Alligator mississippiensis: one gene and its partner. The protein of the gene in region 2 interacts with the protein of the main gene of each other region in a pairwise test. Links are inferred from orthologs where the notes say so. Each region holds a gene or a part of one and is shown on either strand. Other genes may lie near its edges.

Region 1 (7,164 bases), on a different chromosome or scaffold from region 2:
CCAACTTTCCTGCTTATAAGGAGGCACTCCAAGATTCCCTGGGGTACCTCTCTAAGTGGGGAAAGCTGGGAAGGTACCCTGGGGGCTTGAAGGATGTATGGCTTGTTTCCCATTTTGTTGCACCATTGTGTGGTCTGAATGTGTGGCCAGGTTATAACTTAAGACATGAGTAACATGTTAATTGCATCTTGCTTGTAATGTCTGCCAGGGCCTTTAGTTAGGCAACCGAATGTCAGACATGCAGACTAAACAAGCATAAACACCTCTGTCTGGAACGTGGAACAAAATTCACATATATAGGTAACAGTGCACATACACGTAGGGCTGTACCCATAGGAAATGCTTGCGGGTTTTTTGTGTTTTGCTGGCAAATATCTGTTGTTCTTTGAACACCAGTCACTCTTTTTCATGGAAGCCCCCCTCACCCATTGCCTGATGGTGTAACTGTTCTTCTGTGTATCTAATCGTTTACAGACAGGCAGATATGCTAGGCTGTGTACATATCCATTTTATTACGTACTTCTGTTAAAGTGCATCATTAGGCATTAGGGCCCTTCCAGTTACTGTCTCAAGAAATTCACAAGTCTCTAAGGTATCTAGAAAGTGACAGCCTAAATGTGTACTTTTCCTCAACATGAAGGACCTGCCTGGAACAGCACTTACAGCAAGGAGTTTTTGATAAGCTTCAACAATGCTATTTTTCTGGGCAATGAGATGCTTAACACCGAGACATTCTTTCTGTCCGACCTACACCTCATCTTATTTAAAGAGAGGAGTGTTGCCAAGGTTCTAGAGGACAAAATGGAGTTCTCCTGTTTGCTTGTTTTGTCTTTTCTATTGACTGGGAAGGAAAAAAAAGGCAATCCTAGCATCACAAGAGGAAAAACAATTAATTCCCCAGTCTCAGTTGTATTAAATGAGAAAGCCCCAAGAACACATGCACATACCTCACGGTCTAGAAGCAATTAGATACACAGAAGAAGTTACACCATCAGGCAATGGGCGAGTGGGACTTCCATGAAAAGGAATGACTGGTGTTTAAAGAACAACAGGTATTTGCCAGCAAAACACAAAAAAACCCCAAACAACTCACAAGTATTTCCCATGGGTACGAATCTGAGATGTGGCCATTTTTCTGCTGTGAATCCCCAAATCCCTGTGTCCCTAAACAAGCTGCCCACTGTAAAGGTTAAGCTGCCCCAGACTGAAGAGAGCACAGGCAGCACCAAAGGACCTACCTGTGGGGTTGAGCAGTGCTGGGCTGGGCCCATGAAGAAAACAGCAAGCCTGCCTGAGTCAGGGTGGCCACTGGAAACACAACAGCAGAGGCCAGGGGGACAACAGAAGTGACAACAGGGATGGTAGCAGAGGTCAAATATTCATAGCAAGTGCTCCAAAGAATGGCATGCACCCCCCCAGACATCTTCCCTGCCCCCTTCCCAGCAGAGCCCACTGGCTGGCTACCACTGCCCCTCAAACAGCTCCAGGAAAGCTGTGAAACTGTGCCTGAAGACGTGAATGGATGAAAGACTGGAAGACACCTCGCATCACAAAATGGGAAGTCAGCCACAAAAACATTACACAAAATGCATATTATTTTGCTACTGGTTTCCATCGCATCTTGAATTGAATGTGTGGCACCTCCACCATACAACAGGATGAAGACTGGAAGACGCCTCACAGTCCCGGGAGCACCCCAGCCAGTTGCAGCCAGGTAGACAACCAGCTTAGCTAGGGCCAGGAGGAGGTTGACCAGGATGGTTGCCAGCTTCAGGGACATGGACTTAAGCCTTATAAGTAGCCTATCGGCTTCCCTCAGATGGGGAGGCTACAGAAGAGGAGACAACTGATCACTGGGGCCAAATAATAAAAAACAAACAAACCAAGGACGGGGGTGCTGGTCAAAGGTTACGAACAAGGAGAGACACTGAGCAGAGCACATCAGACAATGCCCACTGGCCCTCAAACGAGTCTGAGGAGCCAATAGACACTGCCCAGTGATATTCTGCCCAGAGACGGGAATGAACAAGGGTAAGGAAAGCAGCTCTGGCCAGAGTCTCTTTCCTGGTCAGAGACATGGCCAGTTCGGCCAGGGCCAGGAGAACACGACCAGGAGGTCCCAGGACTGGGAGCACCTAGAAGAAGAGGTGCAAGGGCAAGGGTCCGCACAGCCAGGACCTCTGTGGCTGGGATGAGGCTGAAATAAGTCCCTTATTCCCAGTTCTTTAAATCTGGTTTCCAAGTCCTTTCTCAGTGCCAACCCTCACACAGCTAATAGGGATGAACTGGACAGACTGAAAAGTAAGACTCCCCCTTATGAGTGGTGGAAACATGTGGCTGGGGGCAACCCACACTAGTGCTGCTGGGCATACAATAATTATCATATCTGTCACATCATTTCAAGCCTTGTACGAAGTATGATCAAAAGCTGTAAAAGCATTCAAAATACAGGATCATTTTTGCGGCAGCTCATTGATGCAGCCTACGCAAAACCCAAGACACTCTCAGGGAGCCTTAACTGACTTTGGGGCTTGCTGGCAACACTTCCTTAACTGTTCACCTCAAAATAAAAATATGATTCCACTTCGATGGCCCAGGTCATGAGCGATAGAAAGTAAATAAGAAGATGTATTTACATGCGTATTTGCATATTTTTCAGTACATGATAGTTTTTCAGCAAATACCATAACTTTGAACTCCCAGTACAATACCCCCGCTCCCCACCGCGTCTCACCAGAAGAGCAGATTGGCGCAGACGAAGCCGCCCAGGCTGCGCAGAGGCCGCTCCCAGCTCAGAGCCGCCGCCACGCAGCCGCCCAGCGCCAGCCCCGTATCTCCCAGCAGCGCCGACACGGCGGCGGCGGTAGCTGCCCCGCCGGGTGCCCGCTGGTCCCGCGCTGGAGGCTGCTGCTTTGCGGCGACAACGCTCGCCATAGCTGCGCGGCCTGGGCTGCGCCCCCCCCGGTACGTCACGGTGCAGCCCGAGCAGGTGCCACCGAGATCAGTGACTGCAACTACGCCTGCGCGCGGGAATAAGTAGCACCAAGAGGGGACCGAATGCGCTTGCGCAAAGGGCAGGCATGGCCAAGGAGGGGGAGAATGCGCCTGCGCAGCGGGCAGGTGCCTCGATGCAATGGGAGAGGCGGGGCGAGTGAGTGAACAGGGAGCGCGCGTGAGAGACAGATGCAGCGATGGGGCTGTTGAGCGGTGCAGGCAGGGTTGGGGCCGATCCGCTGGTGGCTGTGGTTGGCCCAGACCAGGAGGCCGGGCTGGGAATGGCCCGTGCTGCCAAGGTAGCCCTTCCTTGTAGCTAGTAATGATGATAATTAGTCATTAAGTATGCTAATTACTCAGAGTGAATAATAGGGATCGTTAATAATAATGATAAGGATTGAAAGAGAAGGCAAGGGCTGACTGCTTGGGCTTGAGGGCGTTTGGCCTCCTCAGTGTCCAGCTGGCGCACAAGCCTGTGTTGCAGGGTGCAGGAATGGAGAGTGGAGACTGCCCGGAACTGCAGGGTGTTGTCACTGTTCTCCCAGCACAACTGCCCACCCCCAGGGAACAGGGTAACTTCTGGGCAGTCACAGACTGGGCTGTAAGACAGCCTGGCTGGCTTCAAGAAAAAATGACAAAAAGCAAAGTGGCTTCTCTCCTCCCTTTGGCCTAGCTTGCCCTGGCCCTTCTTCAGCTCCCTGCTGGCTTCTCCCTTCTTTCTGCTCATTCACTTCCCTCATCCTTTCCCCAATCTTTCACTCTTCCCTACTAGTGTTAGAGTTGTGCTGTAGTCATGATTGTTGCAGCAGGACGCAAAAGGCAAGGATTTCCTAGGGCCAAGGATTTCTTACAGCCATTTCTTTTATTGGACCAACTGCATGGCTAGGACGGAGTGAGACAAGATTTTGAACACAAGATATTCCTCATCAAGCTTTCCATCCCAACTAGGATGAGTTTTTGCATCTTACTGAATTCAAGAATACGTCCTTAAATATACTGTGTATCCTTAGACTGCTGCCAAAAGCAGCATGTGCTCAGAAATGGAAACCAGCTATGAAATTGATTAATGCAGTCCATGCTGAGCACAGCTGTAAAAGACATGGCGCATTTTGGGCAGACAGACTGATGGATACCTACCACACTTGATCTTAGCCAAAAGGTCTTACCAAAGATAGGTTACTGCAATCTCTCTGAACAAGATATATGGTAGTGCCTATTGCACTCAGTCCTCCTCAATGCCAACTTCCTCTTCACTCCCACAGCTGAGCTGCCCCTTTCCTTTCCATTTCCAGTGACTCCTGTTTCTTCACCAGCCTTAAATGTCTGGCAAACATCACCAAAGGGGCCCCAAACAGTTCACGCAGAATCCCTATCTCCCCACTTTTTCAGCCTGTCACTTTTTTTTTTTTTTTTTTTTTTTTAAGGAGAATTTTTCATGTTCCAGGTCAAATTAGCCAGATCAGGTCCAAGTCCATTTGAATCATTCAAGAACCATATGTGGCTCTGTTACCAGCAAGTATCCTCCACCCCAGCCTAAGGCAGGCATCCTGTGTGCAAGCCCAAGCCTGGTGGCTTGGGGTTTGGATGCCCCTGAGTTTCACTTTCCCTCAGCCTGTCACATATTAGAACGGCCCTGCCCTCGATGAAGTGCAGTCAGACCAGGTTCATTAAACTGGGCCCCAGCAAAGTCAACAGCATTTCAAGGCAATGGAAATGGGAGACCCTTACCTAGGTTGCTCCTGCAGCCATATGGCTGCGGACAAGCAAAACTTGGGGGCATCCAAACCCCAAGCCTCTGGGCTTGGGCCTGCACGTAGGATGCCTGCTAAAGGATTTGGAAACATCTGAAGCTCTAGATGGGGTGGAGGATGTTTGCTGGTAGTAGGCCCACTTATGGTTCTTGACTGACTCACTGATTTGGAATTGATTTGGCTGATTTGGCTTGGAACATGAACAATTCTCTTTAAAAATAAAATAATTCAAGCGATGGTGGCCCCACAGCTCAGCACTGCTGCTCATCTGCATATAATTTTTTGGAGGATCCCAGGACTTGTGACAAGAACACTTGGTTCTAGTCATGAGTGGGGAGCTAATTAGCATGTAGATCCTTTGTGGTGGGTATTTGGAGTACAGATACATACTGGGCACATCTACACAAAACATTTTACTCAAGATGAGAGCTAATTACTGTGCAGTAAGCATCACTGTCTAAACATACAGATGCTTACTGCACAGTAATTTGCTCTAATGGCAAGTTAAGGTCCTACATGTAAATACAAGTAGCAAATTTACTCTTGATTACTTACTGTGCAGGAGTGCACATGTAGACTGCTGACCAGGAGCAAATGTTCTCTCAGCTGGGCAGAGGAGGCAGGAGATTGCTTCCTGCACGCTGGAGCAGCCTGCTGCTGGCGAGTCCAGGCGCGGACTATGTCCCCCTGCCCCAGTAGCAAGGAACTCCCAGCGTGTGTTTCATGATCGGAGATCAGGGCCTAGGAGATCCTTATCTCCCAGCCCAAGCTCTGCAGTCGCAAGGCCCAGGCTGGGAGCTCCCTCCTGCCAGGGCATGGGGACATAGTCCCTGCCTGGGCTCTGGTAGCAGAGCCCACCCTGGCAGCAGGCAGCTCCAAGGTCCGTCTGCTGGCCCCATGCTCCCTGCCAGCCCCTGGGCTTGCACCCAGGGGGAGCCTAGTGCTCCCTCTGGCTGCTGCAGGGGCCCGGTTCAGGGCTGCACAGAGCAGGAACAGTCTGCTGCTAGAAGCAGCAAATCTGCTCCCGCATCTCTGCATGTGTAAATATGTGCCCAGGAGAGTTTACTCTAGAGTACTTCAGAGTCAATTGCTCCTAGATTATTTGCACATGTAGACGTGCCCACTGGGTGCATCTACGCAAGATGCTTCATTGCACATTAGACTAATCTAATGTTCAGTAAAGCATCACTGTCTACACGTGCACAGCAATTACTGTGAAGTAGATTAGTTTAAAACTAATGTGCCAAAGTGCATGTGTAGATGCTGATTGGGAACAAATTGTTCCCAGTCAGCTTAAGCAGCAGGGGGCCACAGGGGGTAGGAAGAGCTGTCCTGGCTTGGCGGGACTCTGTCTCCCAGCCACATGAAGATTGGGACCTGTCCAGATCTCCACATGGCTGGGAGAGCTGTCCCAGCTGCTGGGCAACTGTCTCCCAGCCACATGGATATTGGGACACGACCTGATCTCCACGTGGCTGGGAGGCAGCTGCCCAGCAATGGGGACAGCTCTCCCCTGCTGAGTGAAGATGCGGACCAGCCCCTGTGCCTCCTGCCAGCCTAGGGCTGGCACCTTGGGGTGTGTGGAGCTCCACCCAGTTGCTGCACGGGGGCAGAGCAGGGCAGGAGCAGCCCTGGACTGAGCAGCTCCTGTCGGGCTCAATTTACTCCCGATGCAGGCACACATGTAGATGTGCACCTGGAAGCGCTTTAACGAGCTTGAATTTTCTGCACAGAAAATCGAGGCACATTAACTGTACATGTAGCACTGCACAACCTACTGAACAATGCTGAACTACAGGATCACCATGGCTCAAAATGCTGTTGACTCTGCTGGGGCCCAGCCCAATGAGCTATGTGGTAAATCATGAGTCTTTTGGCTTTGGACTAATATTATGCATAATGGGCACATTTACATGTGCAACTAATGCGACACAATAAACTCTGGTACACATTGCACCAGTTTATTGCTCCTGGGTGCCATGATTACATGTGCACCCAGGACCTAAGCACATTGTGCCAGGTTGGAGCAGCCCCAGCTAGTAGGGGGCGCTGTGAGTCAGCCTGCCAGCCCAGGGCTGCTTCAGTGTGGCTCAGCATGCTGTTGAGGGGCTGGCTGGGGCACAAGGATGCTCCAGTGCAGGGCTAGGTGGCAGGCAGCCCCTGCACTGAAGCACCCTCATGCCTGTAGGTGATGTGTAGGGGGAGCACAGGGAGGGGCATGTGCCCCCGATGAGATTGGCTGCTGCCGCCGCTGGCTTCTGCAGGCAGTCGCTGCTCACCTCGCTCCCCACCAGTGTCTGCAGGCAGTCCCCACTTGCTCCCCCACTGCCGCCAACACCGCCACTGGCGTCTGCAGGCAGTCCCCGCTTGCTGCTCACTACCAATGCTGCCGCCTACAAATGGTGCCCCCCACCCCAGT
Region 2 (8,012 bases):
GAGTAATCAGAGAAAGTTGATTAAAATTGTCCATTTAGATCACCAAGCTGGAAACCTTGATTTAAAAAAACCAAACAAAAAAGAGTTTGACTCTTGTTTTGCAACTCTAAACTCCAGTTTGGGGGGTCCCCAAAGATTCACCCCCTAAAGGTCATCTCAAAGAAGCAGTGCTGGCTGGTGTGCCACATCTGGCTCTCAGGCCCTACATGGGAATGATTCTTGAGGCTGGAAAGCCTCACAGTACGTTAACTGCAACTGAGTATGCCCTTTATCAAACTCTATTTGGATGGGAATTGGAATGCCAATAAGTGTATAAAAAATAAAATTATTTTTGAGTTAAAAATTTTAAATGTACTGGCTATCCAAAAATAGCATGCATCAAGCAACGCTTTCTTTTAAAACAAATGTATTGTACAAATAAATGAATAAACTTTCTGGAGCTCATGAACTGAACTGAGTGTTTCTGGTCACCATGGCTTTAGAATTTTAGAACTAGTAGATCTTATCTTTTCATATGTCACTTATTTATAGATTGGAAGAAGAAAACAAACTTTACTTCTTTTTCAAGTACTATTTTTTTATAAATTGAACGTGCCAGTCATTGCACTTAACTAGTTGAATAAGCTGAAATGAAGAAAATAGCTTCCCCGAATCTACAGGAAAAACTACTGCTGTCAGGACTGTTAGTACTTCATAATATCTGGTTGCAGGTGGTTACTCCAGTGGTTTGATTTATTAAAAATGTTGGCAGTAAATACACACTCCCACATATCAACTCTTAAGTGTGAGGGTGTGGGTGTGGTGGGGGGAGGGGGGGGGGGGAGAGAAGAATGAGTTTGTTATAAAACTAGGCCTTAAAATAGGTTGTCAGACTTTTAGCAGATCTATTTAAAAATCAGTTCAAATAAATTTCTCATTTAAAATTTAAAAATTAAGTTACAATAAAATCTATTTATTGTTTTTATTCCTAGTGATACAAAGTGGTACTTGGAAAGGCTCTTCTTGAAAAAAGGCTGATTTCTTTAGTTACAACAGGTCTCTCTGGAGTAGGAGTAGGCCCACTGTACAAACACCATCTCACTTGGAGACATCTGGGACACCTGCTGCTCGGGCTTGTTCTAGCCACATCTTCAGAGCAGAACCTCACAGCTGTCCTGCAGTGTCTTATTCCTTACAAAACAAAGTTCAGGACAGTGTCACAGAGACCTTCCAGCCTTATAAGTCATAGGGGAAGCCATTCTTACTTGGATTTACAACCAAAGACAAACCTACGTGGTCTGGCAATCCTGCACCTCAGTCCCCAGAGAGGTACGACACTATCCCTTGTGACAAGGAAGCAGGGATTCAGCTTAATGCACAACTTCAAGCTACGGATATATCTGCAAGGCACAATGTCACGCTGTGCAGATACCAAGCTAGCTGTGGATGAGTAAGGTCAGGTACCAGCATATAGCCACATTTTGCAGGACACACCACATGAGCTTATTAGCCACGTTGAGAACAGCCACGCAGATGTACCTTCCACTGCTGGGACAGATTCCTGAACTGCAGACATGAATGCAGGAGAATGGAAGCGAGAGAGGAGGATACCTGCTCACTGAAAGTCGGCTGGGATCAGGCTAGGATGACTCACTGAAGATAGTTATGATTTATTTGGTTAAATTGGTACTGTCAAGTTATGGCAGCTGCACCCATCAGGAAAATAATCCCTGTTAAAAGCACTGTGGAGCGAACCCCACCGTGGCTACCATCAAGGGGTTTAAAAAACCTGTGTGGAATTGAGACCCACGTGTCCTCAGTTCCCATCCAGCGCTCTCTTCCCTGCACCCGTCTCACAGCACCGAGCCAAGGGCTCGTTTTACAAGCACAGAGAAGGCCTAAAAGACAAACCTGAGGCCTACGAGAAACAAGCAGCATGTCACTGCTGCTCCCTGAGAGGGACTCTGCGTGTGAGATTCGGGACCGCATCTAGACATCTGAACTCCCACTGATGCTACCCAACACAACTGCACCCGTCAGTGCACCTCGGTCGCGATTCCCTCCATCCACTCACACAAGCGTCCACTCCACAGGAGGTGGCAGGGTATTGTTAGCCTCATCTCAGATGTTTTCTTTTCACACAGGTTCCTTACTAGAAGCTGGTAACCGGCTAGGATTGAACCTTGATTAGACAGCCAGGGAAAGTGACACCTATCGAAACGTGTTGATCATCAGCAAAAGCTGGTCCGCGGGCTAGGGACCGCACCCCAGGAGGCAATGAAAGGGGGGCGCCGAGTTCGAGGGGGTAGGAGGCAGGGGAGATGGAGACAGGCACGTCTTGCCAGAGCAGCCGGAGGAGATGCTGCTGCCAGGCCGGGGGGAGGCGAGGAATGGGGCTCAGCTCCCAACAGGGGGGAGCCACGGGGGGGCGGGTCCCCGACTGCTCCAGAGCTGCCGGGTCATACCCGAGGAAGGCCGCGGAGGGGCCCGTGGTGGGCGGCAGTCAGACGGGCAAGCGGATGCGCTCCCTCACGGCGCGGGGGCTGCGCTGCCCGGCGCGAGGCGGGGGCACAGGATGCAGCCGGAGGGGCCGGGCCGGGCCGGGCCGGGCCGGGCGGGCGGGATGCGGAGGGCGGAGCCCCGCGACGCGGTGTCCGAGCGGGGCGGGGCGGGGGAAGGCCGGGCCGAGGGCCGCGCTCACTTACCGGGACGCGGTCTGGGTACTTGGCCCGGATCTTCGCCGACTCGACGCATCGGTGCTCTGCGAACAACGCGCGGATTAGTGCGGGGCCGGGCGGCCGGGGGGGCCTCCCGGGGGGCGCGGGGTGTCCGGCCTTACCCAGCGCGTGGTCCTCCTTGAACATCCACTTCATGGCGGCGCGGGGCCAGGCTCTGCCGGGGTCGGAGCCGGGGTCGCGGCGGCCCGGGGGCGCTGCCGGGGCTGCTCCGGGGGCGGCCGGGCCTGTCGCTGTCACAACAACAACAGCTCGGCGGGCGGGACTTCCGGCCCCCCCGTTGCCCAGCAACCAGAATAGGTTGCGGAGCTTCCGGCCCACGGTGACCGAGCAACGAGGAGGGGGCGGGGTCGCGACATCCGGGACCGGTGACGCGAGGCGGAGCCAAGCCGCGCCCCGCGGCCACGTGATCCACTTGCTAGTCCCCGCCCCCGGCGTCTGCTGTGGTGACGTTTACTAGTGGACGGTGCCGGTACTGGGCTGACACTGACTGGGCGGGGGGCGGGACTCGGGCGTCCTCAGCTTCAGGCGCTGATTCGCTGCTGGACGTAGGCGCGTTATTATTGGCCGCCGCGCACTGGCCCCGCCCAGCCGGAGCCACGCGCGGATTGGCTCGGTTAGGTCCCCGCGCGCCGGCCGCGGTTGCTATGGCGACGCAGCCATGGGCCGCGTGGAGCTGTTCTCGGAGCCCGCGCAGCGCACGCGGTACCGCGCCGGGCTCTGCTCCGCCGCCGCCCTGGGCCTCGCGCTGCTGGGCGCGCTCACCTACGTGCCGCCGCTGCTCGTGGCCTACCGCAGCCACGGTCCGCGGCCGGGCGGGGCTAGGGTCCGGGTCCGGGGGCCGGGGTGGGGCTGGGTGGTGGGACTGGGCGGGGCGGGGTGGGGTGCCCGCGGCTGCCGGCTGACGGCGCGTCCCCGCAGGACTGTGGCGCACGCAGGCCGCGTACCGCGAGCAGCCGGCCGTCCGCTTCCGCTACGAGGCGCTGCTGCTGGCCACGACGGCGGCGCCAGGCGGCGGCCTGGCCTGGAGCACGTTCCCCGCCTTCAACCGCCTACAGGGAGAGCGCCTGCGCGTCCCGCTCGTCGCGGTGCGTGTGGCGGCGCCGGCCGGGGCCGGGGTGTGCCCGGTTCCCCCGTCCGCTGTCGCCGCAGCCCGGCCAGGCCCCTGGGGTCAGGCTGGGCGCAGGCTGTCACCTGCCGCGGGTGGGAGGTGGCTGCAAGCGCTGCTCTGGGCACAGCCCGCGGGCCTGGCTCGGCTCCAGCCCCTTCCTGCAGGCCGGGGCCATGCATGCTCTTCCCCCTTGGAAATCCTTCCTAGTGTCGAGGGTCTGCCGCTGGGACCGTGCTGGCACCAGCACCAAGGCCAGAGCGTCATTAGGGTTCCTTGTTACTTGCAGACTAGAGAAGAAGATAAGAATCAAGATGGCAAGATGGACCGGTTGCATTTTAAACTGGAGCTTCCTTTGAAGCCAGAGGAGCAAGTGCTTGGCGTGCAGCTCATTCTGACTTTCTCCTACCAACTGCACGTGAGTCCCCGTCTGCCTGTAGTGCTCCTCGGTGCAGAGCCAGCGCCGGCTTCCCAGTAGCAATGATATCAATCAGCGGTTCTCAGCGTTTTTGTACAGGACCCATTTGTGAACATCGATGGCCAGTCCCGACCCAGTTGTGGGGCAGCCGCGGTTTCCCACGTTTTTTTCCTTTTAAAGGAGAATCCATTTTTAAAGCTTGTTCATTACCCTTTCATATATTCTTGTGACCCACTTTTGGTCACACATGTGACCCATGGGTTGAGGAACACTGATCTAAAGTGATAATAACAGAAAAGAGAAGTGATTGCAATACTCTAGTAGGTGAGACTTATGTTACGACTTATTTTTAGAACAGTGAATTTTCATTCTAATTCGCTTTTCCATTTGTACTCCTTTAATGTAAGGCTGTGGTTCTCGACCTTTTTGGAGTCAAGGCACTCCATGTTAGATTCAAAGCAACTTTCAGAAAGTGCCAGCTTTGAATTTCTAGTCATTTTTTGCCTATAGACAGAGCAGTTTTTCTTTTGCAAAGAACTTGGGCCACAACAGGTCAGAACGCTTTTAACACTCTGGATTCCTATTTGAAATCTTTGGGCTTAGCTTGTCAATTGTGTTTGCATGCCTAACAGCGATAACACTGTGTGGCAACCCATGGCACTCGTGAAAGGATCGTGACACCCAGATTGAGAATTACTGATATAAGGGAAGGTACATTTCCATTGGTTGATGAAACTGTCCAAACATGTAGGTTTACACTAGGTTTGCTATATCATTTTGCTACCAAGGAGGGTCCTTTAACACGTGTATAGTCACATCATAATGTTCTGTGATGTGTGGCATCATAAATATTTAATAATTTGAGAAAGGAGCCAATCAGAGCTTGGAGAAGGGCAAGCTGTAAAGTAAGAGTATTGGCCTCAGTGAAGGACTTGGATGATTCCTGAAGTTGTGTCTTAGAGCTTGAGCCCAGGTCAAACGCTTGTGATGGCATTACCAATTACTTGCATCCTCAACATAGCATGTAATCTGTTCTGCCATATTTATGAAGCTTGACCTCAGAAAGTGAGATGTTTTCCCTGGTTTCTGCTTTGTCTAGGAAAAGCGTACAGCTTACGTCTTGCAGATTGTAAAAATTCTTGCTGGAGGCTCATGAATTCAATGCATCTTTTTTAAATAGCTTTTAAGAGATTAAAATTTTAAGTAGGGCTGTCAATTATTAGGGAAGGGACGGGGCAACAAATCAAGGCCCCATGGTGAGGGACGGATTGGAGCAGAGGCTGGGGTGAATGAGGCCCCGGGGCCAGGGTGGGTTGTGGGACGGAGTCATAGGTGGCTTGTTCAGGGGCATGGGGGTGGTGCGATTCCCCGCTGCTGTGTGCTCCCCTGTGGGGAGCATGGGGTGCATGTGCCCCCCAGATTTGTGTATGGGGCAGAAATGGGCTGCAGGCTGGGGCTCTGTTCCCCCCTGCCTTTGCCCTGGGAACTGCACGCTGGCTGTGCCGCATGTCCCTTGCCCACCTGTGGTGGGAGGCACAACATAGTGTCACATGGCTCCTGGGCCAAAGGCAGCAGGCACAGAGCGTCAGCTTACAGTGGGCAGCCTGCCTCTGCCCTGTGCATAAATCTGGGGGACACATGCCTCCCCCACAGGTGTGCACAGCAGCAGGGAGCTCCATCCCTCGTACTTTATGTCCCTGGACAAGCCTCCCACAGCTCTGTCCCATGATGCGCCCTGGCCCTGGGGCCACATTCGCCCCAGCTCCTTCCCCACTCCCTCCCTCACTGTGGGGGCCTCAGTCTGCCCCTCCTGCCCCTTCCCTCTCCCCGTGGCCCCTCCCCTCCAGATTTACTTGCTGGGTGCTGCTCTACACACTGCTGAGTTGCATTCCTGTAGGGTTACCACACTTTGTTTAAAAAAAGAGGGCATTGGTGGGGAGGCAGGTGGTAATATGATTAGTGGGGTGGGGGCAGTGATATGCCCGTGCCCTACCTCTGCCCCTCACTCCCAAGCCACAGCCCTCCCCCCCAGCCCTGCTGCTGTCCCTTACTCCTGACCCACAGTACCTCACATCTGCCAGGGTGTTCGGGGCTGCCCACCCCCGAGGCTCTAAACCCCACACACACACCCCCAGCACCCCACACCTTCACAAATCCCCCCCTCTAACCATACAAAGTACCTGCATAATTTTGAGTTTCTCTGTGCATAATTTTGAGTTTTTAGCAGTGTGATTAAAATCATAATTAATTGCGACTAATTTTTTAGTGCAATTATATTTTTTTGATTGTTTGACAGCCCTAATTTTAAGTATTAACATAAGTTGTATTATGTTCAGAATTTACTTTATGTTCATTTGTTAAAAAAACATAACTTTGTATAGCAAAAATAATTTAAAAAAAATTGATTGTTAATATATATATAGATAGATAGATACACACACATATATCAGCTCTAGTTTTTATTAATCAGTGATTATTTTTCCTTCCTCTCTTTTTTTTCCCCTTCCCAAAAGGACACTAGCTTTGGTTTCCCCTAAGTGAGTTCTGTGGCTCTCTGTAAAATTGGTAATAGCTGTTAGGAATCTTCTGGAACCCCCAGGGGCAATAGGGCTGCACAGGGGACACTGAGAGTACACAGCAGCAAATCAAGTGATCCCTGTGCAACTGACACCAAGAATACAACACAACCTAAGAAAGGGGTGATTATGTTGTTAGAAGCCCCTTATCTTCTTGCCACACTTAGTGGTATGGCAGCTTCTGAACATAAATGGCAAACCATTGCAGAAGCCTGGAACCTCCACAGACCTATTTTTTTGCAATTCTTTCATTTGCTCTTAGATTTTAGAGTCAAGGGGCTATTTTGAGCTGCCTTGACCCATTAAACCAAGGGTGTCACAGGCCAGTATAAATGGAACCCTACATTTCCTCAGATGGCGATGTAGATTTAGCAACTTCTTGCAACTAATCCATGAATAAGTGGATTATTGCTGGCTGCACCTAGTGCAGCGAGGATCAGGAGGTGTGGGGCATTATAGCATTGTAACGTGTTGGACATGAGACAGTATAATACCAGCCTGTGGTAGGGAAAGGCTGGGGTGGGCTTGATACCACCATATTGCTAACTGCAGAGTGACTGGGGTAAGGAAGTGTAGTTAGGCAGTGGGAGGAGTACTTTTCATTCAGTTTCCTAGGCTCAAGGGGCTACGTAGAGGTAAGATTTCCTGGCAACCTTAACTCTGTTCAATGGGAAAAGTGTGGGCAATAATTGGTACCATGTGGGAGGGTCTGACATTCCTCATGCTTGGCTGGTTGTGTCCACAAATATAAGAAGTAGATTTCATGGCCTAAATGAGCCAGCTAGCTGGATGGTTTGCCGTGTCAGAACTGGTCAGGTATTTGCTTTTGTCATCTACTGCGGAGCATCATATTCTCAAACTAGACTTGCACAATTTGGTGGGTTTTATTCTAGAGCTTGTGTAAGGAGCAGTGGAAGTCATTTACTTATAATAACCAAATAAGCGCTATTTTATGAATGTGCTCATGTCTATAATTATCTGACGTTAAAAATAGAAAATATCTCCTTCCTCTCCCTCTACCCCGAAGAAATTTAACAGAATTATAAGGATAGAAAATGTGTATATATTTTTTTCTAAATTCTGTTCTCTCTCCTGTTTTTTGTTTCAGAGGATGTCAACATTTGTGATGCAGAGCATGGCTTTTCTGCAGTCTTTCTCTCCAATTCCAGGGTCCCAGCTCTACGTGAACGGAGACT

What was found. The genes of interacting proteins can lie anywhere in the genome.
Region 1: the proteins of GABARAPL2 (region 2) and RETREG1 interact in binary tests that used the Homo sapiens proteins (3 or more experiments, as listed by UniProt). The link is inferred for Alligator mississippiensis from reciprocal best matches to the Homo sapiens genes GABARAPL2 and RETREG1.

What each region holds. Positions count from the first base shown.
Region 1 is NC_081828.1:100,661,495-100,668,658, forward strand, and holds the start of RETREG1 (reticulophagy regulator 1), read right to left. Parts: upstream 3,019-7,164; 5' UTR 2,935-3,018; coding exon 2,735-2,934; intron 1-2,734. UniProt on the Homo sapiens protein: Endoplasmic reticulum (ER)-anchored autophagy regulator which mediates ER delivery into lysosomes through sequestration into autophagosomes.
Region 2 is NC_081833.1:77,754,667-77,762,678, forward strand, and holds the start of GABARAPL2 (gamma-aminobutyric acid receptor-associated protein-like 2), read right to left. Parts: upstream 3,011-8,012; 5' UTR 2,853-3,010; coding exon 2,819-2,852; intron 2,741-2,818; coding exon 2,685-2,740; intron 454-2,684; exon of another isoform or gene 1-453. Other genes in the region: TMEM231 (transmembrane protein 231), read left to right, coding at 3,376-3,517, 3,636-3,802, 4,112-4,240, 7,925-8,012. UniProt on the Homo sapiens protein: Ubiquitin-like modifier involved in intra-Golgi traffic. Modulates intra-Golgi transport through coupling between NSF activity and SNAREs activation. It first stimulates the ATPase activity of NSF which in turn stimulates the association with GOSR1.